Linked DNA regions of Canis lupus familiaris. The protein of the gene in region 3 interacts with the protein of the main gene of each other region in a biochemical or structural test. Links are inferred from orthologs where the notes say so. Each region holds a gene or a part of one and is shown on either strand. Other genes may lie near its edges. The genes, in order: RNA-binding E3 ubiquitin-protein ligase MEX3C, PJA2, UBE2D2, MYLIP, LTN1, RNF216 and PJA1.

Evidence for each region.
Region 1: the proteins of UBE2D2 (region 3) and RNA-binding E3 ubiquitin-protein ligase MEX3C form a complex in vitro, tested with the Homo sapiens proteins (2 studies listed by BioGRID). The link is inferred for Canis lupus familiaris from reciprocal best matches to the Homo sapiens genes UBE2D2 and MEX3C.
Region 2: the proteins of UBE2D2 (region 3) and PJA2 form a complex in vitro, tested with the Homo sapiens proteins (3 studies listed by BioGRID). The link is inferred for Canis lupus familiaris from reciprocal best matches to the Homo sapiens genes UBE2D2 and PJA2.
Region 4: the proteins of UBE2D2 (region 3) and MYLIP form a complex in vitro, tested with the Homo sapiens proteins (2 studies listed by BioGRID). The link is inferred for Canis lupus familiaris from reciprocal best matches to the Homo sapiens genes UBE2D2 and MYLIP.
Region 5: the proteins of UBE2D2 (region 3) and LTN1 form a complex in vitro, tested with the Homo sapiens proteins (2 studies listed by BioGRID). The link is inferred for Canis lupus familiaris from reciprocal best matches to the Homo sapiens genes UBE2D2 and LTN1.
Region 6: the proteins of UBE2D2 (region 3) and RNF216 form a complex in vitro, tested with the Homo sapiens proteins (2 studies listed by BioGRID). The link is inferred for Canis lupus familiaris from reciprocal best matches to the Homo sapiens genes UBE2D2 and RNF216.
Region 7: the proteins of UBE2D2 (region 3) and PJA1 form a complex in vitro, tested with the Homo sapiens proteins (3 studies listed by BioGRID). The link is inferred for Canis lupus familiaris from reciprocal best matches to the Homo sapiens genes UBE2D2 and PJA1.

Annotation. Positions count from the first base shown.
Region 1 is NC_049222.1:23,929,121-23,933,444, reverse strand, and holds the start of RNA-binding E3 ubiquitin-protein ligase MEX3C, read right to left. Parts: upstream 2,820-4,324; 5' UTR 2,786-2,819; coding exon 2,623-2,785; intron 1,795-2,622; exon of another isoform or gene 1,776-1,794; intron 1-1,775. UniProt on the Homo sapiens protein: E3 ubiquitin ligase responsible for the post-transcriptional regulation of common HLA-A allotypes. Binds to the 3' UTR of HLA-A2 mRNA, and regulates its levels by promoting mRNA decay.
Region 2 is NC_049224.1:2,731,900-2,736,067, reverse strand, and holds the start of PJA2 (E3 ubiquitin-protein ligase Praja-2), read right to left. Parts: upstream 2,934-4,168; 5' UTR 2,787-2,933; intron 1-2,786.
Region 3 is NC_049223.1:33,997,617-34,001,269, reverse strand, and holds part of UBE2D2 (ubiquitin-conjugating enzyme E2 D2), read right to left. Parts: intron 1,879-3,653; coding exon 1,847-1,878; intron 1,769-1,846; coding exon 1,691-1,768; intron 1,607-1,690; coding exon 1,501-1,606; intron 1-1,500.
Region 4 is NC_049256.1:16,553,794-16,558,023, reverse strand, and holds the start of MYLIP (E3 ubiquitin-protein ligase MYLIP), read right to left. Parts: upstream 2,894-4,230; 5' UTR 2,812-2,893; coding exon 2,725-2,811; intron 1,673-2,724; coding exon 1,482-1,672; intron 1-1,481. UniProt on the Homo sapiens protein: E3 ubiquitin-protein ligase that mediates ubiquitination and subsequent proteasomal degradation of myosin regulatory light chain (MRLC), LDLR, VLDLR and LRP8. Activity depends on E2 enzymes of the UBE2D family.
Region 5 is NC_049252.1:24,536,233-24,539,885, forward strand, and holds part of LTN1 (E3 ubiquitin-protein ligase listerin), read right to left. Parts: coding exon 3,576-3,653; intron 3,078-3,575; coding exon 2,847-3,077; intron 266-2,846; coding exon 213-265; intron 1-212.
Region 6 is NC_049227.1:12,342,556-12,346,899, reverse strand, and holds the start of RNF216 (E3 ubiquitin-protein ligase RNF216), read right to left. Parts: upstream 2,927-4,344; 5' UTR 2,765-2,926; intron 1-2,764.
Region 7 is NC_049260.1:53,797,492-53,801,647, forward strand, and holds the start of PJA1 (E3 ubiquitin-protein ligase Praja-1), read right to left. Parts: upstream 2,824-4,156; 5' UTR 2,673-2,823; intron 760-2,672; 5' UTR 533-759; coding exon 1-532. UniProt on the Homo sapiens protein: Has E2-dependent E3 ubiquitin-protein ligase activity. Ubiquitinates MAGED1 antigen leading to its subsequent degradation by proteasome. May be involved in protein sorting.

The DNA.
Region 1 (4,324 bases), on a different chromosome or scaffold from region 3:
GTATGAGGTCAACACTGCCAACTTTCAACACTATCAAAAGAAGTGGTTTGTTTTTTTTTGAAAGACACTGGAACCAGAGGCCATCTACATGAGTTCTAGCCTATATGACTCAGAATTCCATTTGTCCTACCCTTTGCTTCAGAGCTGAAGTCAGAAATGTCTCCATCTGTGTCATAATTATTTCCAAAGCCAATTAAGAGATGGCAAACAGAAAATTATGACTTCAGGTAATGAATAAAATGGCAAGAACGGGTAATTGTTTAGAATGAACATTTAGTTCACCCAAAGCAGACAAGTAAATTGAATGATTTGCTTTGTTTATTCACTTAGAGAAAAGACAAACCATTACACTTTAGAAGAATGCAGGGGTGCCTGGGTGGCTCAGTCAGTTACACATCAGATTCTTGGTTTCAGCTCAGGTCACGATCTTGTGGTCGAGGGACTGAGCCCCACATTGGGCTCCACGCCCAGTGTGCAGTCCGCTCCCGATTTCTTCCTCCTTCCCCTTTGCCCCTCCCCACTTGTGCAGGCGCTCTCTCCCTCAAATAAATATATAAAATCTTTAAAAACAAAAAACAAAAGGGTGCAAACGTGGTGAGTTGCCTTGTTCTCCATAGGAGTGGGAAAGCCCTTTACAGATTTTATTATGGTGCTTGCTGCTGAGGGGTAGAGGTAGCAAAGGGGTCAATGATCCCACTAGAGGTAGGAAAAGGGGTGTTAAGACTTTCTGGTCTTAAGAGAAGGTAGAAGATGATGACATGCTTTTAACAGTACTGTCAACTCTAGGAAACATTAAGTGTAAGAGGAGTAGTCAGCAATTTGTCTACATGTCCTAAGACATAAATAGAACCACATTTCCTTATTAACCAGTAAGTACAGCCCAATAAGCACAGAAAAACTAAAGACTTTATCTCATTTGCTATTAAATAGATTACAAAATATTATTTTAATAGCTTGTACAAAATAAAAACTCAGAATGAATTCAGTTTAAATAATGCATTTGTATAAAAAGACAACAGTTTGTGTAAATGGGGTCCATTTTTTCATGCTTTTAAGAGTACGATACAGATAAGGACAAAAGTTTGTGTTAAACTAAATATACAAAAGATTTCATTATCTTGTCCCTCAGGCAAACTGAAGTCAATGTTCTTTTCTTTTGTTACCATCAACTGGCACCACAAGCAACCTGTGCCGAGGAAGTGCCCTCCTAGTGTAGCATTAAGGGTCTTTCATACTCAAGCCTGAACGCACACATTCCCAGCCCCTTTCCACCACACCCCTTCGAAGACTCCAAGCGCCTAAATAAATAAATAAATAAATAAAACCCCACTTTCTAATTAGAGCTAGAGAGTAATCCTCACATTGTTCCCAGGTCATTCTTTGTCTCCATTTGTTAAAGTCCCTGCAGGGTCGGTGTCCTCACAGGTAGGGCTGTCACCTACTACACAGAGTGCCATTAACCGCACGTTAGTTGGATTAAACTTTGGTTTCTTAAGGGCAGCAAGTTTGTGTGAATCGACCTCACATTTCCAACTCCCATAAACTCAACACCTGGCAAAATAGAAGCTTGAAACCTATCAATTCCTTAATGCTCTTAATCGAATGGCCAACTCATCCTGGACTTGTAGGTGGGGGCGGTAGGTTTCATCCCCCGTACGGTGAAACAGCGCTCTCCTGGATCAGTAGGATCTCAGGCATCGCAAAAACACCCTCCCCCCTCCCCAAACCGGCCCAAATAAAACAAACAAAAAGCAAGGCATCTGAGTCTTCTTTACCAAACTACCGGAATAAACGGTCGGTGGAAGGGTCCCAGCTTCGCGGGGTGCCTGGAGCAGCAGTCCTCGGCAGTCCGCGTCCTTTACCCAGAGTGCAGACGGGGTTTTCGTATTAAGATCCCAGAGGGGAGCACGGAACGCACGGCGATGCGCGGCCCCAGCGCGCCCACAGGCCTCTCGCTGCCCGCCCTGCACTTACACCGCTGGGGGGGGGGGGGGGGGGGCGGAGGAGGTCACCCCCGCGGCAGCGCCGTCGCGGCCCCACTCGCCCCGAGAGCCCCGCACCTGCCCGTGGGGGCTGCTCTCCGCCCGGCCCTGGGGTCGGGCGCGGGGCACAGGGCCTGCCCCCGCGCACACCGCACAGCCGCTCCGGGAGCCCCAGACACAGCTCCTTTGTCTGGACCACGTGGGAGGAGTCTGCGCGCAGCGCCGAGGATTCGCCGAGGCCGAGTGAGCGCGCCCGGAGGCTCGGCTCCGTTACGGTGCCGGCCGCTGTCCCGGCGTCGGGGGCGCGGAGGGCGCGGAGGGCGGGAGGCCGCGTGCCCCGGGGCGCACCTGCGCGGCCGCAGCATCCACCCCCGCTGCAGGGCGGGCCGCGCCACCTCCTGCCCCCGGGGCGCCGGCCCCGCCTGGCCCGGGATGCGCGGCCCGGGTACCGCCGGGCGGGATGCGCGGGGCTCCCGCAGGGTAACCCGGGCTGCCCCCGCGCTGCCCCGCACGGTGACCCGAGCTGCCCCGCACGGTGATCCGGGCTGCCTCGGGGGTGACCCGGGCTGCCCCCGGGGGTGACCCGAGCTGCCCCCGAGCTGCCCCGCAGCACCGCCGCCCGCGCCCCCGCGGCACTCACCCTGGCGCCCGACGATCTCGGCGACGTGCTCGGAGCTGGGCACCGGGACGCACTCGGTGGTGTTGACGCTCTTCCTCCGCAGCAGGGCCGCCTGCTCCCCGTTGAGGGCCGCCGCGCCGCAGCCGCCGGGCCCGTAGGCGTGGGACAGCACGGCCGCCATCATGGCCGGGGCGGCCGCGTCCCCGTACAGCGCCCCCGCCGCGTCCCGGGCGTCGAAGCCGGCGGCGGGCAGCAGCACCGGCCCCAGGGGCCCGCCCGGCAGCGGCGGCGGCGGCGGCGAGTGCGGGGCGGCGGGCGGCGACAGCAGCAGCAGCGGCGGCCGGGGCTCGTCGGCGTCGTCGGGCTCGTCGGCGTCCGGCCCCCGCCCGCCCCGGCCCCGGCCCCGGCCCCCGCTGCCCGGCCCCGTCCGCGTCCCCGGCCCCGTCCGCGTCCCGGTCCAGCGCGGCCTCCGGGGCCCCGGGCCTGCGGGGCGGGGCGCGCTCCTCCGCGGCCGGGGCGGCGCTGCCGGGCTCGGCGGGGCCGGGGTCGTCGAGGCCTAGCGCGGCCAGGCGCCCCCGCAGCAGCGGCGCGGCCCCGGCGGGCTCGGGCTCGGGCGCGGGCGCGGGCTCGGGCGCGGGCGCGGGCGCGGGCTCGGGCGCGGCGGGCGGGGGCAGGGGCGCCAGGGCCGCGGAGCTGCCGCTCGGCATGGCGGCGCGCGGGCGGCGGTCAGGCGCGGCGGGCGGCGGGGCCCATGGCGGGCGCGCTGGCGGCGGGGCGGGCGGCGGGCGGCGGGGCGGACCCCGGGGCCGCGGCGCGCCAGGGCCGCCCGGAGCCTGCAGACGGCGGGGTGCGGCCGAGCCGCGGGCCAGGCAGGTCCCGGCGGTGGGTGGGGACGCGGCGGCGGCGCGGCTCCCCTCTCAGGGCTTCTTTTGTTCCATGGCCTCGGCCAGCCCCCGGCGCGCGCCGCGGCGGCCACGCCCCACGCCCCACGCCGCGCTCCCAGCGGGGCCGGCGCGCTCCGATTGGCTGCGCCCGCCCCCGGAGCCCGCCCCCTCCGCGGCCCCGCCCCCGCCCGCGCCTCGGGCCCCGCCCCGCCGCTCCCGGAGCTCGCTGATTGGGCGGCCGGGCCGGGCCGGGCCCGCTGCCTTCCCCTTCCGTCCGCTCCCCTCCCGCCGACAGGGGCCGTGATTGTCCGCTCCGCACGTCAGTCTTTGTGACGCGGCGTCTGGGGGCGGGGAAAAGCGGGCGGAGGAAGGCGCGGTAGCCGCTGAAGGCCGGGCTGCGCGGAGAGCGCGTCTGCGCACGCGCGAGCGGCGGCGGCGGCGGCGTGCACCTGGGCGTCCCCGCCTCCCCGCGGGTCCGGCTCGGCCTCGGTGCGGGCAGCCTCGGGGTGCAGCGCGGGCGCCGAGGGCGCGGTCCCGTCGTTCGGGGGCCGGGGCCCGGGGACAGTCCTCGGAGGAGCGAGGGGCGGGGTCCTCCTGGGCGGCCCGGGGCGCTGCTCCCGCGGGGCCGGGCCCTCCCCCGCCCGCCGACCCGGCCTCCAGCCCCGCCCAGGTGCCGCGGGGCCCTCGAGCTCCACCCGACTTCTTTGGGGCTTTTCAAGAAAGTTAAGCCGTTTCCTCCTGCGACGCGCTCTTCCCCAGTGTGGCCCAGGCCACCCCACGCGGGGTCTCCTCTGCAGGTGCATTGTTCCGCGGCCCCTTAGGAGCCAGACCTGCTGCTT
Region 2 (4,168 bases), on a different chromosome or scaffold from region 3:
TCTGTGTCTATCATGAATAAATAAATAAAATCTTAAAAAAAAATAAAATAAAAAAAAAATAAAACAGAACGTTCTTGGGAAAATACTAACCAGGGAGATTGGTGATGCCCTTACATAACCACTCAAAAGTCAAAACCATCAATAAAATTCAACACCCACTTACGGTTTTTAAAAATGTCATCAGAAATTAAAGACAACAACAAAATCATCTTGGAAAGCCGAAAAGAGAAGAAAATATTTTAACTTAACATTTCCCGTTTAACAGAAAGTTTCAGCAAACATCGTTAATGGATGCTAAAACATCAGAAGCAGTCCCTCAAAGTCAGAAACAACACCACATTTTTAGCCACCACTGCTATTCTTCAAAATTATACCGCAAGTGTACGCTAGCCAAAGCAATGAGGAAAATACGTTATAAAAAAAATGAAAAGAAAGCCAGAAAGGTGTGAACACTTCTAGGTAATCACCAACTCAAAAGTGATTAGATTCATGATAAACAAAAAAAAAAAAATCCGTAAGTTTTCCTATAACCAGAAAGAGAGAGAAAATGTTCCTGCAAGTTTCTATCCACCAGAGCAAATCACATCACACTCTAGCCAGGATTACTAGGAAGGAATGCCATAGTATGGGGGGCGGGGACACAACTACTATAAAACCCAAACTAAGGATATAAAGCCAGATGTGAATAAAAGGGAAAGACACACCATACACGCACATATTCTGGGGGAGAGGCTCAGTATTACAAAGGTCAGTTTGCCCCAAATCCATCTAAAATTTCAATGTCACATTCAAAAAAAGAAAATAAAAAACTAAGGATTTTTAAAAATTTGTAAGTTGCATCTAAAGTTCATCTGGGGAAGAAATGCATAAGAAACAGTCAAGAATAATTCTGGAAAGAGGGAAAAACGGTCATCAAAATTTAAAACATGCATACCATTTAACGCAGGAACTCCATTTGGAGGGAATCTATGCTCCAGAAGTGATCACACACAGAGGACGTTTCCCTAACAGGTGACTTTTAGAATAAAGGCAGGACCAGAAGGGGAAGTGGGTGCTGCACTATTTACCTTACGTTCATTCCTCCAACTGTTGGAATTTTTTTAAAAAATTTTAAGGTTTAAAGTGTGCAACTAAAAACTAATCAATGCATTAAAAAGTTGTCTTCAAATAAAGCAGTATTTGACAGCGAAAAGAAACTAATCGAATGTCTTTCAATAGGTCAAATAATCCCAGCTCCTCCAAACCAATGAAATACCGCTTACCCTTAACAAAGTTATCAGAGAGAGCCCTAAAGAACAAACCAAGGTGGGCCAGACACGTGGGCAGGTGAGAGGAAGGAGGGACGCAGCGAGGTGTTTGGTATTCCTCCCGCCTCGCCCCTGAACCCCGACTTTATATGTATGTGTTTAAAAATGCGTTTCTAAAAATGCCCAGTAAATGGCTAACTTCAGAGACTGGAGTAGGACAGGAGGATGACAAGTGTCCAAGTCTTGCTCCATAGGCCTTTTCCTTATATTGTCCAATTTTACATCGAGCTTGCGTGTCTGGGGCCAATATTCAGGACTTAGAGTCATCTCCTATAAAAATGGGATGGATGCTATGAGACAAAAAACAAAACACAAAAAAACCTACAAATCGTTAACACGCTTCTTTCTGTTATTTTCATATTTATTGACATGCTCTTGGAATGATCTGGAGTCCTCGGCAGAGGGGACTGCCATTTTAAGGAAATTTGACCAAATAGGTCATGATAAAAAAAAAAAAAAAAAAAGCAAATACAGAAAGCCTTAAAAAAAACAAACCTACATAAACATAAAGTTCACAGAGGCAGCAGACTCAAAGCAGGGCCCGTGCATACGGGAAGCAAAAAAAAAAAAAAAAAAAAAAAAATTTAATGCCTGGCGAGGGAAGTCTCCTCAACAGATTATTCTTCCTTTTTGCAAAAAAAAAAAAAAAAAAAGAGTATTTTACGTCCTCCCTTTTTTCTTCAACTTGGTCCTCGGGCGGCTTTAAACTCGGCATTTCGAAGGTGCGCAAAATGATTTAGCAAGCAGCCATCCGCGGGAGGCCGGCCTCCAGGCGGCGGGCGGCGGGCGGGGGAGCGCGGCCTGACACTGCGAGCGGCGGGGGCACCGGGGGGCACGGGGGGGCACGGGGGGCACCGGGGGGGGAGCTGGGGAGAAGCTGGGGGGCGGGGGGGCACCGACGGGAGCTGGGGGAGCATGGGGGGGCACGGGGGGGAGCGGGGGAAGCACTGGGGGAGCTAGGGGGAGCACCCAGGGGAGCACTGAAGGGAGCACCAAGGGGAGATGGAGGGAGCTGGGGAGCACGGAGGAGCACCGGGGGAGCACCGGCGGGAGCACGGGGGGAGGAGCTGGGGGAGCACGGGGGGGGCTCGGGGGGGCACGGAGGGAGCACCGGCGGGAGCACGGGGGGAGCTCGGGGGGACGGGCCGCGCGGGGGTCGGCGCGGCCGAGGGCCCCGGGAGGCGGGCCGGCCCGGCGGGGAGCGGCCGCAACGGCAGGCGGGGCGGGGGCGGCGGGGGCTCCGCGGGCCGCCGGGCAGCACTCGGCGGCGGCGGGGGCCGGGGCGGGGGCCGGGGCCGGGCCCGTGGCGCCGCCAACCCCACCCACCATGGCCGGCGGCGGACGCAGGCCCCGCGCCTCCCGCGCCTCCCCCGCCCCCCCGCGCCCCCGCCGCGCCGCCGCCGCCGCCCTCGCCCCGACCCCCGCGCTCCCCGCACCACTACAGCTCGGCCTGAGGAAAGAAAAGGAAATACGGCTCACCCTACAGTGCAGCGGCCCCGCAGCGACGGCAGCGCCCGAGCCTCAGCGCCACCACCGCCTTCTTCTCCGCCTCCGACTCCTCCCCCGCGGAACGCGCAGCGGCGGCAGCGGCGGCGGCGGCGGCGGCGGCGGCGGCGGCGGAAGCAGAGGCGGCGGCGGCCGCGCGTCCCGCCCCCAGCGCCGCGGCGGAGGCGGAGGAGGCGGGCACGCAAGCCCCGCCCCCGGGCGGTGCCGGCCAATCGGCGCCCAGGGCCTCTGCAGGAAAAGTCCACGCGCCCAATGGGGACCCGGGGAGTGGGCTCACGTCACCGGTTGGGACGTGGCAGAGAAAGGGGAAGGGACTCGGCCCGAGCCGGCGCCGCAGACCGCCCCGGGCCAGGAGGGCGCCGCCGATTGGCCGGCGGGCGGGAGGCTGCGGCTGCGCTCCCCGGCCCGGCCGAGGCCCCTGCGGCACTGCGACGCGCGGGGTGGGGCGGGGCGGGGCGGCGCGGGGCGGGGCGGGCTCGGCGCGCGGCCTTTTGTGGTTCGGGCCGCGAGACAGGGCGGGGCCTCCGCGATGGGGCGGGAGCGCCCGGGCTGCAGGGACCCCGACGCCGCCCCGGCCGCGCGCTCCCGCTCAGCGCTAAGCCGCGGAGGCCTGGGCGCCCGGGTGACCGGCTCGGGCTGGAGGCCAGCGCGCTGCCGCTCGGAGCCGGGCGGGGCGACAGCGAGCGCGGGCACGGCCGCCCCCCGCCCCCCCTCCCCGCGCGCTCCGCGGGCCCCGCCCCCACCCCCCCCCACCCCACCCCAGCCCCCCCTGCGGGGACGCTCGGCCGCCGCGCATCCGCACCAGGTGGGGGGGCGGGGGCGGGGCACTCGGCCTCCCAACCCCTCCCGGCCCCCCCCTCCCCCCCCCCCTCCTCCCCTCCCTCTGCCCCGCCCCCTCCCCGCGGGGACGCTCCGGCCGCCGCGCATCCCTCCAGGTTGGGGGAGGCGGAGACGGGGCACTCGGCCTCCCGCTCCCTCCCCATCCCCTCCCCATCCCCTCCCCATCCCCTCCCCTCCCTCCTCGGCCTCGCCTCTCCCCTCCCCCTCCCCGCGGGGACGCTGCGGCCCCCTGCGCCCCCCGCCCAGGTGGGGACGGGGCACTCGGCCTCCTGCCAGCCCCCCTCCGCCCCCAGCCCGGTCCTGACCCCCCTCCCACTTTGCACCGGGAGGCTCGGGGGCTGTGCAGCCCAGAAGGACCAGCTCCCATCACCTGCCCGACGGTAAATACAACAGCTGTAGTCCCGGGGCCTTCTGCTTAACTTAAACACGGGTAACAGTTGACTGAATCATGCCGTGATGCTCAGTGGTTTCTTCGGCCCGCACACCTCCTTTTTTTTTTTTAATTTTGTTTTTCC
Region 3 (3,653 bases):
GAAAGAAGGGAACTTAATTTTCATTTCCTTCATTATTTTGCTCCTTTCTGTCTATTCATCTGTTGGGATCTTTTCTCTTACTGATTTTTATATATGTTCTTCCTATTTCAAACTTATTAGCCCGTTATCTCATTTGCAGCCTTTCTTTTTCTTTATTTGTATTTGTACAGCCTTTTTTTCATTATTATATTTTTACTTGGACAGCTCTTAATCCACTTGTGATTTCATTTGGATATGATGTTGAGGGGCAGTACAATTTCAAATCAACATACTGTTTGTTGGAGTGCCTGGCTGGCTCAGTGCCTCTGCCCCCTGCTTATATGCTCTCTCCCTCTGGTAAATGAATAAAAAAATCTTAAAAAAAAAAAGAAAATGTTAGCTACTTAGTTCGCGGATTAAAAAAAAAAATCCCCAACCGACTCATGTAATTAGGCTTTATTTAGAATTACTGGAATTTCATTGCAAAATTAGTAACTAATTTTTATTTTTTTAAAAATATTTTATGTATTTATTCATGAGAGACACAGAGGGAGAGAGAGAGGCAGACACACAAGTAGAGGGAGAAGCAGGCCCCATGCAGGAGCCTGACGTGGGACTTGATCCCAGGACCCAGGATCATGCCCTAGGCCGAAGGCAGGCGCTAAACCGCTGAGCCACCCAGGGATCCCAGTAACTAATTTTTAAAACACATTTTCAAACACACACAGGACTATATACTGAAAATATTAAGATCATCAAATAGAATTTTTATTAAACTGGTCATCTTAGAGAATCAATCTGTTTCTGATAGAAACCTCAAGACAAGAGCTGGTATAACCTTAAAGAGTTTGAATATGAATTCACCTATACTTTGTTCTTCAAGGACCTAAAGTCTGTATTTATACCACAAGCATTCCTTCAAAAGAACTGCTATGTCCTCTTCTGGAACAGTATCTATCCTTTCCATTCCCAGATCTCAAGGTTGGAAGATACATTAATTTCCTCTACTTTAACTTTGCTCTAGAAGAAATTCATACCAACTGGCCATTTTCCAACTTACGCTTGAACAGCATAATGGACAGAGCTGTCAAGACATCAAAGAATACCTATGCCTGAAAATCCAATTTCCTCCAATGGTCTCAAGGTGTACTAAAAAATAACGGGAACTTACTACCTCTTCTTGAAAGGAATATGAATAATCATTTCAAAAAATAAATAGACAACAAAAACAAAAAAACAAAAACCAGGGACACCTGGGTGGCTCAGTTGGTTGATTATCAGACTGTTGATTTTGCCTCAGGTCATGATCTCAGGGTTGTGAGATGGAGCCCTACATGTTGGGGGCTCCATGCTCAGTGCAGAATCTGCTTGAGATTCCCTCTCTCCCCCCTCTGCTTTTCCCCTTGCTTGCATGTGCATGCTCCCTCTCTCAAATATATGCATCTTTAAAAATAAACAAGTAAAAAATATAAGACAAAAACACTGCTGCTTTATCTTAATATCAGATACCCATTCTATTACCTTTTGAAATAGTTAGTGCTGGAGACCACTGTGACCGGAGAATATCAAGACAAATGCTGCCATTACTGTTAATATTTGGATGATAAATTCTTGTTGTAAACGCAACCTATAGGGAATAGGAAAACTTTTTGTAAACTGATTTATTAATGTCATAGAAAGCACATAAAAACAAATGCCATATCCCAATTACCTTAGGTGGCTTGAAGGGGTAATCTGTTGGGAAATGAATTGTCAAGAAAAATACTCCACCCTGATAGGGACTGTCATTCTGTTGATAACAAGAAAAGTGGGATTAAAATGAGTGAATTACATAAACACTTACTCTGAAATCAATCTGAATACTTACTGGCCCCATTATTGTAGCCTGCCAATGGAACACTGAAAAAGAAGAAAAAAACAACCATGAAGCAATATTTCCATTGTATCTACAACATAATTACATATCAATTCCTAACCCCAGTTCATTTATAACTGGGTATGGCAGTATGGTAAGTCCTGGGCAGGATGAGGAATCTAAATCAAGTCTGAGACTGAAGAAAGAAAAGAAAATGACTAGTATGGTCTTGAACACTGATAAGGTACTGTGAGAAAGTATTTGACTAAAATATTTTGAAAATTCCTATCAGGGAGACAAAATTCTTGACAAGGGCCAAGTTTTCATTTTCATTTTTATTTATTTATTTATTTATTTATTTATTTATTTATTTATTTATTTATTTATTTTCAAGTTTTCACTTTTAAATAGGCATTTCTTACCTCAAAAGGTAAAAAAGAACAAAAGATTCAACTCTTTAACTTGTATCATTTCCCCAACACATTAACATAGAATACATTCCTTTTATAATACTGGTATAGAGCAGGGCTATAAAGTCAAAGTAGATAATATCCCAATTAGGAAAGACTTGTTTTTACAGCAAGAAAAAATTTCTGAGAGCATTCATGTATAAGTCTTTAGAATTACTAGTCCCTCACTAACAGATGAAAGATCAAGGTCTCTTTTTTAAATGATCTAGAGTTGGGCACCTGGGTGGCTCAGTTGTTGAGCATCTGCCTTTGGCCCAGGGCATGATCCCGGGATCCTGGGATCCAGTCCCACATCAGGCTCCCTGCAGGGAGCCTGTTTCTCCCTCTGCCTATGTCTCTGCCCCTCTCTCTGTGTCTCTCATGAATGAATGAATGAATGAATGAATGAATGAATTAAAAAAAAGATCTAGAATCTACAACACCAACAAGGCAGAGAAAGACAAACTAAACTAAAAACACATTAAGATGGAATTTAATTAACAAAAGCATGTGAAGACCTGCCATTAAAATCTTAATGGAGGATTTCTGCTACACTGGTTAAATATAATACCTACTGGAATCACTGACTTAGGTCTCCCTCTGGAACTCTTCTACACTCCTAGATGTCCTTGTGGAAGTATAAAAAAGAAGGGAAGAAGGTAGTGGGAGAATATCTAATCCTGACTCAAATTATAATGGTTTGGTTAGCAGTTGAAGAGTCATTAGATGAAAAAAAAAAAACAAAAAATCACTACAGGTTCTAAGTAGAAATAACTCTCCAGGGGTTCCTGGGTGGCTCAGTGGTTGAGCATCTGCCTTTGGCACAGGAGGTGATCCCGGGGTCCTGAGATTGAATCCCACATTGGGCTCCCTGCAGGGAGCCTGCTTCTCCCTCTGCCTATGCCTCTCTCTGTGTCTCTCACAAATAAGAAAATAAAATCTAGAAAGAGAAAGAAAGAAAAGAAAAGAAAGAAAGAAAGAAAGAAAGAAAGAAAGAAAGAAAGAAAGAAAGAAAGAAAGAAAGAAAGAGAGAAAGAGAAAGAGAGAAAAAAAAGAAAGAACGTACTCTCTAGAAATAGTGGGCAAAATATTTGGCCATAAGCAAAAAATATTGTTGTATTTTATAGGAACATCTATATTTCAAAAACCTTTCATTTAAGAATCAATCTTAGGAGTGCCTGGGTGGCTCAGCTGATTAAGCTTCCACCTAAGCTCAGGTCATGATCTCAGGGTCCTGGGATTGAGCCCGCAGTGGGATCCCTGCTCAGTGGAGAGTCTGTTTCTGCCTCTCCTCCTGCTTGTGCTCTCTCAACTCTCTCCTTCTTAAATAAATAAATCTTTAAAAAAAAAAATCAATCTTAGAAGCTGTT
Region 4 (4,230 bases), on a different chromosome or scaffold from region 3:
TGCAAACTTAAAAAATAAATTCATATCCTCAAGGCAGATTTGCATCTGGAGACCCAGAAAGGATTGATATCATGATAAATCTACATGATAAAACCATGATAAAACTACACAATGAAAAGTCCAATGTGTTGTAATATGTGTGTGTGTGTGTGTGTGTGTCCTCTTCTCTTACTCTACTCCATTATCTTGAAGTACAGAGTGGAAACCTTCACAAGTCTGCTTTAAGGTAAAAAAACAAAAACAAAACACAACCTATTCTGATTAACATAAACAGCTAAAACAGCCTTACTACACATGCAATCATGTGAATATTTTGCAAGAGATTTCCAAGAACACTAAGAATTTGATATACTAGCTTGCCTCAGAAATAAAACTGAACATCTCCCTCACTGTTTAAAGCTCCCTAACCAGGTAGAAGAGACATTTCAAATTCAAATGAACAGTATTTCAAAATATGTTTCCATCAGTCCTTCAGCAGAGGAGAAGAAAAAAAAAAAAAAAAAAGACATGAGAACCCTTAAAGGATTTTGCTCACTTATCATACCTTGAGATTGTCACACATTTTTCATGTGTGGTGAATTTCCAACCCAAAGGATTATGAAAAATATCAGAACTCAGATCCAAAGTTTGTTGTCTTTAAAAGTCGTTTTCTTCCTTTCTTTTTTTTCTTAACATGCCACTATAAGATTCAGGTCTCTTGCATTTCAGCAATAAATACTGAATGCCAGTTTCCTAATTTGGCTCATCCTTGAAAAGTACTACAGACAGTCCAGGGGGAGAAAACATTTTCTGTTTGAAAAAGGCACCCACGTGCTCCAGTTGTCTACCACTGCTGGTGGTTTTCTACAAGTAAAGAGATAAAGTCAAATCTAAACAATCCTGTGTTACAGATGTGTGGGTTCAAGTTCCGTTACACCGGCCCTACAGTGTTTTTCTACTAAGATTTCAAGATGCTTAAAAACTTCCAAAATTCTGCATGAAGTCAGATGGAGCGCTTTGCTACATGTTGTAATTTGACACTAGGCTTAAATTGACCAAGTTTAAGTAACCCAAGAGGAACTGTTTCCTGCTTTCTGTTAGAACCCTCTACAATGACCTGTAGTAACACTGCTGAGGCAGAGGTTACTATCGGGCATTTGATGCGGCTATCAGGAAGTCAGTTGGGTTTTTTAACCTTTTTTTTTTTTCTGCCTTGTGGCACTGATCTCCAGCGTTCACAAGAATCCAGCCCTGCCCCTTGTTGTTTATAAAGACAAAAAAAAAAACCACAAGAGACAGAAAACATACCCCAGGCCAACTAGGCGGTTCCCTCTTCACCTCAACAAAAGGGCTGAGCCGTGGAAAACTTCTCAGTTAGGAACCAACTCACTCTGTGTCAACCACGTTTGCCTGTGAACATCTCTGGGGAGGTGCAACAGCCCTTTCTAAACGGAATCAAAGGTCTATGTATGTGACATTGGTTTATTTCAGTGCCACTTTACCTCGTCTGCTCCTGTAAGATGAGATGAGGTTCCACGAAGAATTTGACTCTCAGTTTAAGCCGGTAAGGGGCTAGCCCATCCATCTGCTGGGAGATCCGATTTCTCAGATTTAGCCATAAACTTTCGCCTTTGCTACCCGTAAACTGCAGTCCAAAGTAATCAACTTCTATAATTCCCAGCCGCCTGCACACCTAGAACAGAAAAGGAGTGCAATACGGATGAGCAAATGGTCCATGTGGTCAAAGCAAACCCAAGGACACCGTCTGGGTGCAAGCTTCCTGCCTGCTTTTCACAACGTTCAACAAAGGTGCTACAATTCCTGCCTTAAGCTGTAAGAACAAAGTTCTAAGGTCCCAGTGTTGTTAAACCAACAGAGAGGCTTTGTGCTTCCTTTAACACCTAGGACACCGTCAACTGCAGTAGGGAGAAAGGAGTCCTCGAGAGTAGCCTTCCAGAAAGGCCGAGGGAGGCAATCTACAGGGTTATTTTCTCTTATTCCAATCACCGGAATCCCCTCCACCAGCACAATCCGCACCGCTGATTTGGCAGATTATCTGGACAATTTTAACCATCTGGACTCCAAGAAACAAACACGGTGAGGAAACACGCCACAAGTGTCAGCTAGGAGGTTTTCCACACAGCTCAGGTCTAGGGGGTTTGAGGGCACAGCGTTCCCCTTGAGACCAGGTTTTCTGTCTGTCATACCAACGTGCAGTTTCGAGCCATTCGTCGTTACTCCTAAGGGGAATGCGTGCTTTCAAGGCGACGGAGTGGGTGACCCAAACCCGCGGCCCTCCGGGGCCCCGCAAACCGGGAGGTGCAGGTGGACGGTGCATTGGAGAAGCAGCAAGAGACAAGAGCGTCGCCTGTCTGCCCAGCAGCCACCTCATCTGGGGGCTCAGGTGGCACCGCCAGACCCCGCGGGGGACCCGACAGGCGGCATCATGCACACACCTGCGGCAGGTGTGCCGGGCCGCCTTCTTCCGGGAAAGTGCGGGGCTGGGGGGGGGGGGGGCAGCCCGCCGCGCGCGTCCCCCCCGCCCCCCCCCCCTGCGCGCTGCCAGCCTGCGGGGACCGCGGGCCCCACGGCCGCGAGGAGGAGGAGGAGGAGGAGGAGGAGGAGGGGGGGGGCGCTCCCCGCCGGGCCGCCGCAGCGCCGTCCGCTCCCCGGGAGGCTCCTGGCGCCGCCGCGAGGCCCCTCGGCCTCTGGGGACCGCCGCCCCCGCCCGGCCCCGGCCGTCACCTGGTTGAGGCAGTCCTCGCCGTTGGCTTTCGCCTCCACCTCCACCTCCATCAGCACCGCGTCCGGCCTCGTCACATAGCACAGCATGGCTGGGGCCGGCGCTGCCGCCGCGGCCGCCTCCTCCTTGTGCGCGCGGGGCTGCCGCCTCGCCGCGGCTCACAGGCAGCCCCGGGCTCGGCGACGCTGGCCCCCGGGAGGCTGCAGCGCCGCAGACCGCCGCCCCGCGCCCCCGCCCTCCGCCCGCGCGCCGGCCGCCCGCCCGCCCGGGTCCCCGCGGCGGCGCCGCACTCCAGCAGCCCGACTGCCTGCGGCGCGCCGGGGACTCCGCTCATATAGTGGCCCCGCCCCCTCCGGCGGCGGCCCCAGCCAATCAGCGGCCGCGCCCCGCCTCCGCCGCCGGGCCAGCCAATAGCGGCGCCCGCTCGGCCGCGGCTGAGTTCCCCCGGGCGGCCCGGGAGGTGGCGGCGTGCGGGCGCGGAGGGCTGCGCGGGGAGGGGGCCCGGGGTCCGGGGCCCGGCCGTCCCCGCCCCCGCCCCCGCCCCCGCCCCCGCCCCCGCCCCCGCCCCCGCCCGCTGCGCGACGCTGCTCCGAGCCGGGCGAGCGGCCCCGGGGCTGGGGCGCCCCTCTGCCTGCCTGGGATCCACCGTTCTCCAGGAGCCTTGGGTCGCTGCGAGAACGCCTACGGGAGGTGAACGTCCAAGGCAAAGGGAGCAACCCCCGAGCCCGGAGCAAACTGCCCCCGCGCCCCCCCGGGGGTTGCCGCCGTGGGCTGTTGGAAGGCGGAAGGATCGCTCCTCATTTTAGACCTCGGCGGTGGGGGAAAAAAAAAATCTGAGTATAAAAGTTTTTCTGTTTTTTGTTTTTTTTTGCAGGGCCACCTGTGTGGCTCAGTGGTTGAGCATTTGCCTTCGGCTCAGGTCGTGGAATCGAATCCCCCAGGGAGCCTGCTCCTCCCTCTGCCTGTGTCTCTGCCGCTCTCTGTCTCTCTCTGCGTCTCTCATGAATGAATAAATAAAATCTTTTTTTTTTTTTTTTTTTTCAGTTGACCACTGAGCTGCATCTAGCGTGGAGCTGGATCTAGCACTTCAGCATAAATCTTCTCCAGAAGCTTCTGTTTACAGGTTGTACTGAATCAAAACACCTTATGGGGCTCCAAGGCCCTCTCTCGTTCATCCTGTCTCGTGCGTTATTCATTCATTAAACGTTAATTGAGCACTTGCTGTGCTGCCGGTCCCTTCTCTCAGGCAACCAGATGTTATCCCCATCTTGAAGGTTAGGGACTTATCTCAGAACCTAACAGGTGGTAACCTCAGCAGTAGCTATTAGTAATTAAAGGCCTCCTAGTCTTCACTCATTTACTACTTGTTCCTTTTTGCCAATGCACGAGTTAGCCTACTCTTTGGTTTCTTTATAGGAGAAATGAGATGCGGGTTTCAGTCTTGGATCCTTGGAAAGCCTGCTTCATCTCTCTGAAGTTCAGTGTTTTCAACAGTAAAATGGAAAGCA
Region 5 (3,653 bases), on a different chromosome or scaffold from region 3:
GAAGGTGTAACTTCCAGATAATTCAAATTAAATAGCAGGACAACTTGTAAGTAAAAGCATTTAAAATGGCACCTGGCATATAGTATTATATCAAGTATTTTTATCTCTACTTTCACAATCTCTTTTTTTAAAAATATGGTCTTGAAATTATCATCTCATTACCTTTGAGCGAAACAAATCCTTAATATGAGTTACATAGACAGATGACTTACTGTGGGTCACTGAGTGTATCAGGTGTTTCTTTTATAAGATGATCCTGCAGTACCTATAGAGGGGAGAAAATCCCATAGTGTTGAGATTCTATTGAATTGTCAATGGTGAACAGAGCATAAGCCTTATCTTATCTAAAAGTTTCTACCCCTTCCCAAAAGAGTAGCAAAATTAAAGCAGCAAAACTAGAAGGTTTGAACTGTAAAGTTCAATTGGTAACAATTTTTCTTTCCCTATCAATCCCCAAGGTTGACTGCTTTTGCAGTTAGAAAGAGAGGGTACTTCTTCTGAACATCTTCAGTACCTTCAAGAAGAGTTTTCCCTTAAATACTCCTGGTCTCTCGCTCCTCTATCCCTCTTGTACACAACAGTGAAGTAGAATCACCGATGAGTTTTAAGTTTGGGAGAGAAGTTAGGCTGTTTTCCCCTCTGAGAGCCTCCCTGCCCATAACAGGACAACACATATTGTGTGTGCTCTGCTTCATCAAGGAGGAAAGTTTAAGGCTCCATTCAAAGTGAGTAAGCCTGCCTACTACCAGGGCGCAGTACTAGGGAACCTACTGTTCTAGTACTGCTTTTATCAGCAGTAACAATAGTTATCATTTATTTAGCTTTTCCACAAGCCAGGTATTGATTTGAGCACACTTCATCCATTAAGTTAATCCTCACAACTACTCAATGAAGTACAAGTTAATTTCCACTTTAATAAATGAAGAAATGGAGGCACAGAAACTTGCCCAAGGTCACACGAATAACTAATGGCACAGTTGGGGCTAGAACCCAATGTTACGACTCAGAGCCCATGTTCTTATAGACAGTATGACATAATGTTTATAAATCTCACATTTTGGTCTTCATTTGCCTAACTCCTCTCTAAAAAATTGGTTTTGAACTTGGGAAAGTTCAAACCCATTATCTGTAAGAACTGTGACATAACTAAGTAAAGGGGAAATAATAGAGGAAAAATCCACATATTCAATGATCAATTATCCATCCATAACAAAACCAAGAACAAAAAAACCAATATAATACTATATAATACTATAATACTATATGCAAAACTATAGACAGCCAAATTAGTTGTCTCAAACTCCATCTTCTAAAACTCTTAGTATCATAACTCATCATACTTCATTCTCACAATACTTAAATAAACCAATGATTCTTGGATTAGACAACTCCCTTTGAGAATATGATTAAAGCTACAAACCCTGTCCCTAGAAAAACAAACTTGGTAAAACTGAAAAATAAAGAATGGGAGAATCAAGAACTCAAATGGGGAACTAGAATGCACGTATGTGTGTAGGAGAGATGTTAGGTGCAAAGATGAGACAGGTAAGCTGGGACCAGACCATGCAGAGTCCTGTAGGCCAGGATAAGAAATCTGGACTTGTGAGTATAATGGGAAGCCACAGGAAGGCTGGATAATTGAAAGGAGAGAGGATGTTTAAGAAAATATTGTACACAGGGTGTTATGGAAACACAGGTGTACTAAATAAAGGAATGAATGTCTTTGAATTTCTATGAATTTCTAAAAATCCATGAATTCTAAAAATCTTCAATTCCTCTCTTCTCTCACAGTCCATCTACTTTGATTTCTTGAGAGAATACTAATAAGCTTGGTTGTCTGGTTTTTCCAGCCCATATATTAGGAATAACAGAAATGAAGAAGGACAATATAAGACACAAATTGAAAGCCACAAAAAAAAAGTTATGGCTGATACCAGTCTCGCAGAAGTGCTGGCCATGTGTTGGAGAGACCTTTATATCATTAAGAGGAATATAAATTTATATCGCCTTTTGAAGGGCAATTTATCAGTATCCATGAAAATTTTAAATGTTCCTATCCTTTGACCCAACATATGCTTACTAGAAATTCTATTATCACTCCCACAGGGTCTGAGGAGATCTGTTCAAGAATGTTTACTGAAGCAGTATTTGTTATAATAAAAAACAGAGGGAAAATCTCAGATGCATATTAATATAAAAGGAGTTATATAAACTGTTGTACATCTATATCATAAAGCCAACAAAAAGAATGAAGTTTATCTGTATACATGTATCAATATGGAAATATGGGGAAAGTAAATTTAGATTTTTTAGATGTATTCTTTTTTCAGATCATGTAACATAAAGCATAAACTTAAATCTTTTTGGTACTATGACTAAAAGTTATAAATTAAGGACGAAAAATTTAAATAACTTAGAAAAATTCAATCTAAAATGTTAATTATGGGGCAGCCCAGGTGGCTCAGCGGTTTGGTGCCACCTTCAGCCCAGGGTCTGATCCTGGAGACCTGGGATCGAGTCCCATGTCAGGCTCCCTGCATGGAGCCTGCTTCTCCCTCTGCTTGTATCGCTGCCTCTCTCTGTGTCTCTCATGAATAAATAAATAAAAATCTTTAAAAATAATAATAATAAAATAAAATATTATGTTTAAAAATCAAAACCAGAAAAAAAAAAAAATCAAAACCAGTCAGTTTTATTAAATACCATTTTTAAAAACTGTCTTCCATTAGGAATATTTCACTTAGCTATTCCTTCACAATACCATGTAAAAGAGCTATCATTATAATAAGCCTCATGTTCCCTAAATACTTGTGGGGAAAAAAAAGAGGACAGTTCCAAGAACTTACACTTGTAATTTCATCCTTACAAAATGCTATGGCTTCAGGTTGCTTGCTTGGCGGAAAAGCTGCTTCAAAGGCATCTTTTGCTGCAGATGCAGCTGGTGTGTAAGTATCACACTGAGCCATTAGCCAATAGCCCATTAAACTTTTTAAATAAGGAGCCAAGTGTTTCTTCACTTTAAGAATAAGTTTTTCAAAAGCCTGCTGTGTGGCTTCTCGAACCCGGCGATCATGATCCTATTGAAAATATAAAATGATTTAAAATAGCTCTACCCCATAAGAATAAAAATACAGACATTTCTGAATATGCTATGATGACCCATTAATAAGAATCCACCGATATGCAGAGCTAAACTAAAATTAGTAAATTCAAAAATTGTGAAAAAGTTCATTTTTTCTTTTTCCCTTCTTGCAATGAGATAAAAACTCTTCAAGATAGACTCAAGGTCAGGCCTTGAATATTGGGCAATTCACTCTCATTCTTCCGCAGTAAATATCCAAAGAAATTAAACTGTTCAATTTTACTCTAACTAGAAAGTATCTAGGTAATTCTCCAGTAATTACCTGATTTCTGAAAAAAGATTCTCAATATACCTTAAAAACATGATTCAATCTGCATAACAATACTGACATAACATTTTATCATCCTCACCAAAAGCAATCATATAAATTTAATAGTCCTCATGACTTCAAAAACTGTACAAAAACAAACTACTACAAGTTTTTAATACTTACAAGTGAAATTTTGCAGAAAATTCTTGGCCAGTATGGAAGAACTCCTTTTACAATTTCTGTGTCTCTCTCTGTACACAT
Region 6 (4,344 bases), on a different chromosome or scaffold from region 3:
TCCTAAAAATCCTCTTATCAGTGTCTTTTTACAATGGGAAAGTTTTTTTTTTTTTTTAAAGATTGTGTTTATTTATTCGAGAGAAAGAGAGAAAGAGAGAGAGAGAGAGAGAGAGAGAGAGAGAGGAGAGAGAGAGAGATAGGCACAGGTCTCCAGGATCACACCCTGGGCTGAAGGCGGCACTAAACTGCTGAGCCACCCGGGCTGCCCACAATGGGAAGGGTTTTAACCCAAAAATTAAACTCAGAATCTTCACTAGGTAGGTTAAAGAGTTTAACATATAACCTTATGATTTTCCTCAAATGTCAACCGAAAATTGGTTCAGAAACTGAAATAAGCAAGCACATCCTTATTCACAAGGGGGGGATCATGGTTTTCAATCTTTTTAGAGGTGAATCCTCTGTGAATTCATGATAAGCTGCCCCTGCCACCCCAAAAGTGCCTATAGGTTCTACTCTCCCACTTATTTTCATTTGGCACTGAGGTGCTGTTTCTTTTAAATCATAAGATTTCGTCATAGAACCAAAATTTCGTGGCCTGTGAAACGCTGCCTCGTAGGACCATTGCTGACATAGCTAGCCTCACCATACACCTCTCCTCCATTCACCATTCTTTCAGGGCCTTGAACGGGCCATGCTCCTTCCTCTTACCTCTGGCTGGCTGATTATTTTTCACTGCCTCTTTCTGACCAAATTAACTCCATTCATCTTTGAGTTTCTTATCTTAAATATCACTTCCTCAAAAATACCTAACCAGGAGGATCCCTGGGTGGCTCAGCAGTTTAGCGCCTGCCTTTGGCCCAGGGCGCGATCCTGGAGTCCCAGGATCGAGTCTCGTGCGTCGGGCTCCCAGCATGGAACCTGCCTCTCTCTCTATGTCTATCATAAATAAATAAATCTTAAAAAAAAAAAAGAAAAAAAAAAAAGAAACACCTAACCATCCCCATTGTTCACTCACACAATATATCTCAATCTTTCAAAGTACTTGGCACAATAATAATCTACAAATACTTAGAAAGCTACATTAAATAGCTATCTGCTAAAACAAGTTCCAAGGATGGAGGACCCGACATCTTATTCATTCCATTAGCCGCAGGACATACTGCTTGGCACAAAGTAAATACTCCAGAAGAACTTTTCGAATAAATATCATCTACAGGGATGGCAAAGTAATTAGTAGGAGGAGCATGAGCTATGGAACCAAACTGAATTCAAGTCCCAGCTCTGTGGGAGTTTTTTGACTACTTATTTTTCAGTACCTCGTTTTCTTCCTTTTAAAATAATAACGGAACCCCCATTACTGAAGATTAGAGGAGTTATTACATTAAAAAATGCTTAGAACAATACCTAGCATAGTTACTAGCATCATGTTTGTCTTACTGACAAGAAAAGTAAAATATTGCCAGCTATGAGAATTAGTTATGAGGTCTGAAAAGACCTTAACACAGCCTAGAATATAGCAACTACTCATTAAATAGAAGCCATCAGGGTCAGCAAACTCAGGTGCTCTCATCGACCCTATTTCATAAACTTTCAGTCTTCTTGACTCAAATTTCAACTTCCTTTATTAGATTTCTCCATTCGGGCTGGAAGGCAGGTTTAAAAAAAAAAAAAAAAAAAAAAAAAAACTTGCTGCCCGCTAGCCTCTATTTAGGTTTAAGGGGGGAGATCCCAAATCTGGCTCCAGTTCTCCAGCGATTTCCTCAGTTTCACACCAGTCTGTACCCCGAGCCCCAATAAATTACCTATACAACAAATAGAACAAAGCAAGGCTGTTTCTTGGCAGTCTTTTTTCAGGCAAGCGTGCTAAAATTGAGGTCGGTCCTAAAATCTTCCCTGTCTTCTCCCAGTTCCCTGCAGGGTAAAAAAAAATCTTCTCTTTGCATTAGCAAAGTGACTTGGATGGACAAGCCATACCCGGGCACTTATCACAACGCAGGCACTGGGGGGGGGGGGGGGGGGGGGGGGGGGCGCCGGTGGGCGAGACGGGGGGGGGGGGGTCTCGCACAGGACTGAAGTGGCCCAAAGTTTTGAGACCGTCGTTCCACGCAGTCTCCAGCCACGTCCCACGCGGGAACGCCGGTCTCGTTCACTGCGCGGCGCTCCAGGCACATTTGTCGGGTTCGCCTTCCCCGCGCTGCAGAGGGTTTTGACGCACTTGCATGTCTTCACGAGGGCTGGGTGGGAGCCGCCGGCTTTCCCGACAAGACGGCGCTCCTGAACCGAGTCGGGAGGGTTGGGGACTGAGGCCCGACGCCCCTGGGCCCCGGGGGGGTGGGGGGGTGAAGGGGGACGCCGGAGTTCAGAGTCCCAGTGCATCACCGCCCGCGCGCTCCAGGCCGCGCTCGGCTCCACCGACGCCGCCTCCCGCGAGGTGCCGCCGGGAAACTCGGGTCTTTCGGCGCGTTCGCCCTCGCGCAGCAGGCCGAGGGACCGGCCCGCGAAACTTCCCGAAGTGGCGGGCGCGGGGGAGCGTCCGCCAGCCGCCGCCGCCGCCTTTGTGGCTCCCGCCTCACCGCCAGCCCCGCTGCTCGCGCCGCCCGGCCCTCGGCGGGGCCCCGCGCGGCTCCGGGCCCGCTCGCCTGCGGGAGGCCGCCGGGCCAGGCCCGCGCCCCCGACTCCGCGGCCCCGCCGCCCCTCACAGCCGAGGCCCCCGCCCCCGCCCCCGCCCCCACCCTGGGGCTTAATGGAGGCGCTGGGCTGAGACGCCACTCGCCTCACGCGGCCTGCCGAGGAGCTGGGCGCGCCCCGCGGCCGACACTTACTCGCCACTCAGCTCGCCGGCTCGCCAAGCGGGCTCGGCGGCTTCTGTCGCCACAGCTTTTAGTCACCAGAAGCGGCCGCCGACAGCTTCGTTGCCGCCGCCGCCGAGGCCGCCGCTGCACTCCTTCCGGCCCCGCCGCGACTTCACCCCGCGCCTGCGCACAGCGCCCCCTCCCGACTAATGACAGGAAGAACCATAGAGGCACGCCGGGTGCTAGGGAGGAGGGGCCTGGAGAGTAAGACCATAGAGAGGGACGTCTGGCCGCTCACCGCCCACTGAGTCTTGACTCCCCCACGAGGTGGGAGGACGAAGGAAACTGAGGGGCCCTTCCCCCAACCTCAGGAAGTGTCGCCTGTCTCCCTAGGGATGAAAAGAGTGGAGGCGGGGGAATGTGGGGTAGGGGGGAGCAGATGCCCATGGAAAGCTATTGGATATGCATTTATTTGCACCCCTTGCCTTTGGCAGGTCATTCATCCAACACCTATTTTTCAAAGAGCTTCCTGTGTGCCAGGCACTGTTGTAGGAATTGGGCATACAACGATATAGAGGGCCCCTGTTCTCCCCAAGTTAATCTTTTAGTGGATAGATATATAACAAACGCACTAAAATACTGGCTCAGGCAGGAAGGGTTGGGGGGGGAACAACACAAGAAAAATAGAGCAGAGGAAGGGGTAGAGAGTGATGGGGATGCCAATGCGGTCATGAAGTCTTCTAAAGAGGGACGTTTGAGCAGAAAACGAAATGACATAAGGAGGTCTTAATCAGAGGAATGCTAGTTAGGAAGAGATTATAGGAGTCTAAATAATACCCAATGGTGACCTTAACTAGTATGGTCAGGAAGGAGGGGGAGGGGGGAATGATCAGAGTAGGGATTTTTTTTTTTTTTCAAGTAGAACGGAGAGATTTGCAGATGGATTGGATGTGAGGTGAGAGGGAAAGGGTAACTGCAAGGTTTTTGGAACGTGCAACTGGATGAATGGGGTTTCAGTCATAAATATGGGGGGAGATTGGGAAGAACAGATTTTGGTCAGAGTAGGGAGAAGTAAATGTGTTTTGGACGTGTGAAATTGCCAACGACACCTTCAAATTAGAGACGTCAGTCAGCATTTGGATATATGAGTCTGCAGCTTCAGAAAGACAGGATCACTCAGGCTAGGGATTTAAACTAGGAATCACTGAGATAGAGATAACGTATGAAGCCATCAGACTAGCTACACTCACACCTAGGTAATGAGTGTAGATAGAGGGGAGAGGACAGCTGAGGACAGACTTCAGGGTCACTTAAACATTTGGAATCTAGAGGATGCTGCGGAGGAAAACCAGGAGAGTATGGTATCTCAGAGGCCCAAGAGACAAAGTGTTTCGACAAGAAGGCAATGATCGGTGTTGCCCAATGCTACTCAGAGACACAAGATGATGCAACTGAACCTCAGGGAAATGATAAGGAGGGACCTTAGCTGAGGGCGAGGTCAGGGAAAAGATCTGGGAGAAGATTTGTGAAGGAGAGAGTAGAGAACGAACGATCAGTCGAATGCAGTAGCCTTGCAGGCACTAGAGTTCCGTGATCAGAAATTTAAAGTG
Region 7 (4,156 bases), on a different chromosome or scaffold from region 3:
CCTCTCTCACATCACGCTTAAAGCTAGAGAACTGTGGAGCCACCCCAGCCAAAGACCTGGCCCCTTTCTCTGGGTCGTAGGGCTTATCATCTTTAAACTTGCCAGTTTTCCCTCTAACTGGTGCTCGCTCAACAGGCCCAGCCCCCTCCTCCTCACTATCATCTGCCCCAAAAGAGTCAACATGTCCATAAGCCAATCCTCTTCTGCTACCTGAAGCCCTGTACTCTCTCGGTGGGTACCTGGAGTAGTCCTCATTATCAACATTCAGGCTGGCTCCAGAGCTCTCACTGTCCTCCCAACTACGACGGGTGATGGAAAATGGTGACCGGCTCCTCTTGGTGGTTTGACTGGGGGCTGATCTGTGCATTGGGACTTCGGATGTTGTCTTTCTCTGGCTGGAAATCCTGTCCTGCTGGCTCGAGGATGGCCTGAAACTGACATAAGCATGCCTTCTTCCATACCTCCTGCCTGTATTGGACTGATACCCTCCTGCTGGCTTGGGCCATACGGGCTTGCTAGATTCCTGACCCATGGCTCTGACTTAGGAGGGTTTCCAATACAGCTGGGGCTTGAGCGGAAAGGCTCCTGCTCCCTGCACAAGCTTGGGAGATGGGAAAGTCAAATCAGTTCAGAATAAAAGAGCAGGGAGATCTATTTTCACTTCAGCAGGCAGTAACAGAAAGGATAAGGGGCCTTTACAATTAGTTTCACTTTCTTCTAAGGCCTGAAGTAGCATTCCAGTGACTGTCAGGTGTAGACCTGGAACACATTTTTAATGTTGGCAAAATGATTACAAAGCTGGGTTGGTTGGAGAGCCAGACTTGGGGGAGAATCTGACAGAAGATGGGGGTGCCTGGATGCTAGGAAGGTGGGTGAAGTAGTGTGAAATTAGGCCAATGTGGAAGAGGAAAGATTGTTGTGGTTATCTTATGGGGTATCTGCATCTTTTCTGAGCCCTGCAGACAGACAGGAGAAATGCAAATTGGGATGGGGTGAAAAAGAGATCACCATGTGTTCATGAATGCCTAACGTGTCTGTCAGGAGGAGAGGGACAGGTGGAAGGGGGGGGGCAGTCATCATGCAATGAAGAGATGCATGTTTGTAGGGGGAGGGGACAGGTGTACTGGGAAGAGGCGTTAGTGTCAGACAGAAGGACACCCATTCTGGATGTGGGTAGGGAAATGACAGGTGCCAGGGTGGGGGGTGGCTTCAGAGGAGAGGGGTATGTGTAAGCATGACAGAAAGAGAATGTGCATGTGTGGCTGTATATGTGCAGTGGCTGCAACTCTGTGGAGGGAGCCCGTTTACGTGTCTGTGGCAGGCAAGAAAGGGTTTGGTAGCATTGGACAAGGGTGGCCACGGTCTGTGAGTATTCAGCAAAATGGGAGGCAACAGTGGAGAATGTCAGTGTGAGTGAACGCATCCACGAGAGGGACAGCACAGGAGAGGGATGTGAGGGTGGCTGGTGGGTGGAATAGGGAGCCAGCAATCAGGGAAATATGTGTATTCACGAATGTGGCTAGCTGGGGGGTGATGGTGTCCCCAAAGAAGGATTTATGTGAGTGTTTGCACTGCAGGAACCAGCAAAGGAGGGCTGTCTATGCACGTATGTAGCAGATGGGGAGCAGGGCTGGGAGCATCTGTGAGGGCTGTGTGAATGAGAGTGTGTGCGTGCATATATATGTATGTATGTATGTGGCACATGAAAGAGGAGCCAGCAATCAAACGCTATCGTCATGTGTGTGGCAGGCAAGGGCTAGGGCAGCCCCAGAAGGGGTGTGTGTGGTGTGTGTGTGCTCACACAGAGGCAGAAGAAGGAGGGGGCTGCTTCTGGAGGTGAGTATGTGGCAGGCAGTGAGAAGCAGGGAAAGGCACAGGAGGGTGTGACATTGTGCAAGAGTGTGTGTATGTGTGTCTGTCCACGTCCTCAAGGGGAAGAGGATGTGCCAAAACCTTGAGTATGAGGGGGGTGCAGGGAGGGGGCTGCAACGAGAGGTTTCTGTGTGTGTGTCTGTATGTATGCCTGCGTACGTGTGCGTGCATGTGCACGCGCACCATGTATGCATGTGTCTGTGTATGTCCCTGCCCACACATGCGAGACATGGGGAGGGGGAGGGGGTCACAGTGTCATAAAGAGAGATGGCAAAACGTTACTGCTCACACTGGCAACTCCAAACCGATGGCCAGGGAAGGGGAATAAAAGAAAGGAAAGGCAGGCAAGGGTCTAGTTTTTCCCTGGTAATAACTGGTTTCTCAGACAATTCTTTTTCCTGGGAACGATAATATATTTACCTACAAATCTGAACAATTTGCCATTCAGGAAAAACAACTGCAAAATGGGGGAAGAAAGGACATGGAGTGCTCTGTAAAGGGACCAAGGAGGGAAGAAGTAGGGGAGGGCCCGGACCCCCACTCCCCTCTCAAACAGCAATTGAAGCCATCCGAGTAGGGGCCACGCCACGCGAAGGGGGCTGGGAGATGGAGGATGACGCCCCCGAACAGGTCGGGGGATACAGGCCTCACTCTGCAGGCAGGTCCTGCGTCCACCCCACCCCTTCCCAAGGGGCGCGCCTGAAGATCTGTTCGCTAGAGGACCCGAACCCTCGTCCCCAAGCCCCGCCACCTGCCCCGCCGCCCCTTCCGGATGAACTGAGGAAACAGCCTCCACTCACCCAGGGCTGACAGCCGCGCGCTCCTCCGGGCGAGCGGAGCTCTCGGGCCGCCGAGCGTCAGGGCCGCCGGGGCTGCTCCGGGTCTCCAGCTCCTCCCCCGCCAGACAGCAGCCGGGCAGGCGGCGACTGCGGCGGAGGAAGTGCCGGTGGCGTCGCCGGGCCCGCCCCCTCGATGTGGCGGGGCGGCAGCTGCTCTCCACCAATCAGGCTGGGCCCGAGAGCATGATTTCATTTTAAATGATGAAATCGTCAAGGATACAGAAAAGGACAGCAAAAAATGTAACCAACAGCCAGCTTTAGCAAATGTTAAACATTTAGCCATACCCTCTTCTGTTCTGGGGGTTTTCTCCCCCTTTTTAAAGATGAAGTCGACAAATTCTTTCTGATTAATTCTGATGTTCAAGTAATTACAATAATATATCATATCCTATGTTATATGGCATGGTTTGTACTAGAAGCATAAAAAAATGTGAAATTTTATCTAGAGTTGCAGGTTCATTTTTTTTTTTGACCTGGTAATTGAAGCAATTGAACTGTTTACAGTAGAATTTGTTGCTGTTAATTTTTTTTCTCTGTTAACGAAACCAACCTTTTCTATCCAAAAGAAATGATCAGTCATGAAGCGTAATACCGACTCACAACCTGGTAATCTCATTGCAGTTTAAAAATACTATAGCTATACCTTTTGGATTTGTATAATTTTACAGAATTCTGAACTCTTTTATTAATTGCACTTTACAATGCATCTTTAATATTTATGGAATGTAAAGACTCTCCATGTTCACGACAATAGCAAAGTTTTGTTCTTGGAAACAAAATGCACAATACAAGGACAGGAAACATTAGGGTAACAAATATAATAAGAATAGGATGTATGTGTAACAAACCACTAAAAAAATAATATGTCGAACAAAGAGAAAAATTCAATCTATCAAACTGCAGAAGTGAGGTGGGAGGCAACAAGAAAGGCTATTTTTTAAGACCCAAAGGGCAGGAATAAATCCAAATATATCAGTATATAGTATGGATTAACACTAATTAAAAAAAAAAAAAGCAGACTCTCAGAAATCCTGAGTGGCTCAGTAGTTGAGTGTCTGCCTTTGGCTCAGGGCGTGATCCCGGTTCAGGGATCGGGTCCCTCATCGGGCTCCCTGTGAGGAGTCTGCCTCTCCCTCTGCCTATGTCTCTGCCTCTCTCTCTCTCTGTCTCTCATGAATGAATAAATAAAATCTTTAAAAAATAAAAGGCAGACTCTCATTTTAAGTATTTTGTTTTTCTTCAAATTTGATTATATGCTGTTTATATGAGTTTCACTTAAAGCAGATATAGAAATGGAAAATATATGCCAGTTAAATACCACAAGAAATGAAGAAGGAAGGAAAGGAAGGAGTGAGGAGGGAGGAATTAAAAGAAAAAAAGAAAAGCAAGAAAGAAGACAAGAGACATGTACCAAGGTTAATATCAGAAAAATCAAGAACTCAAAA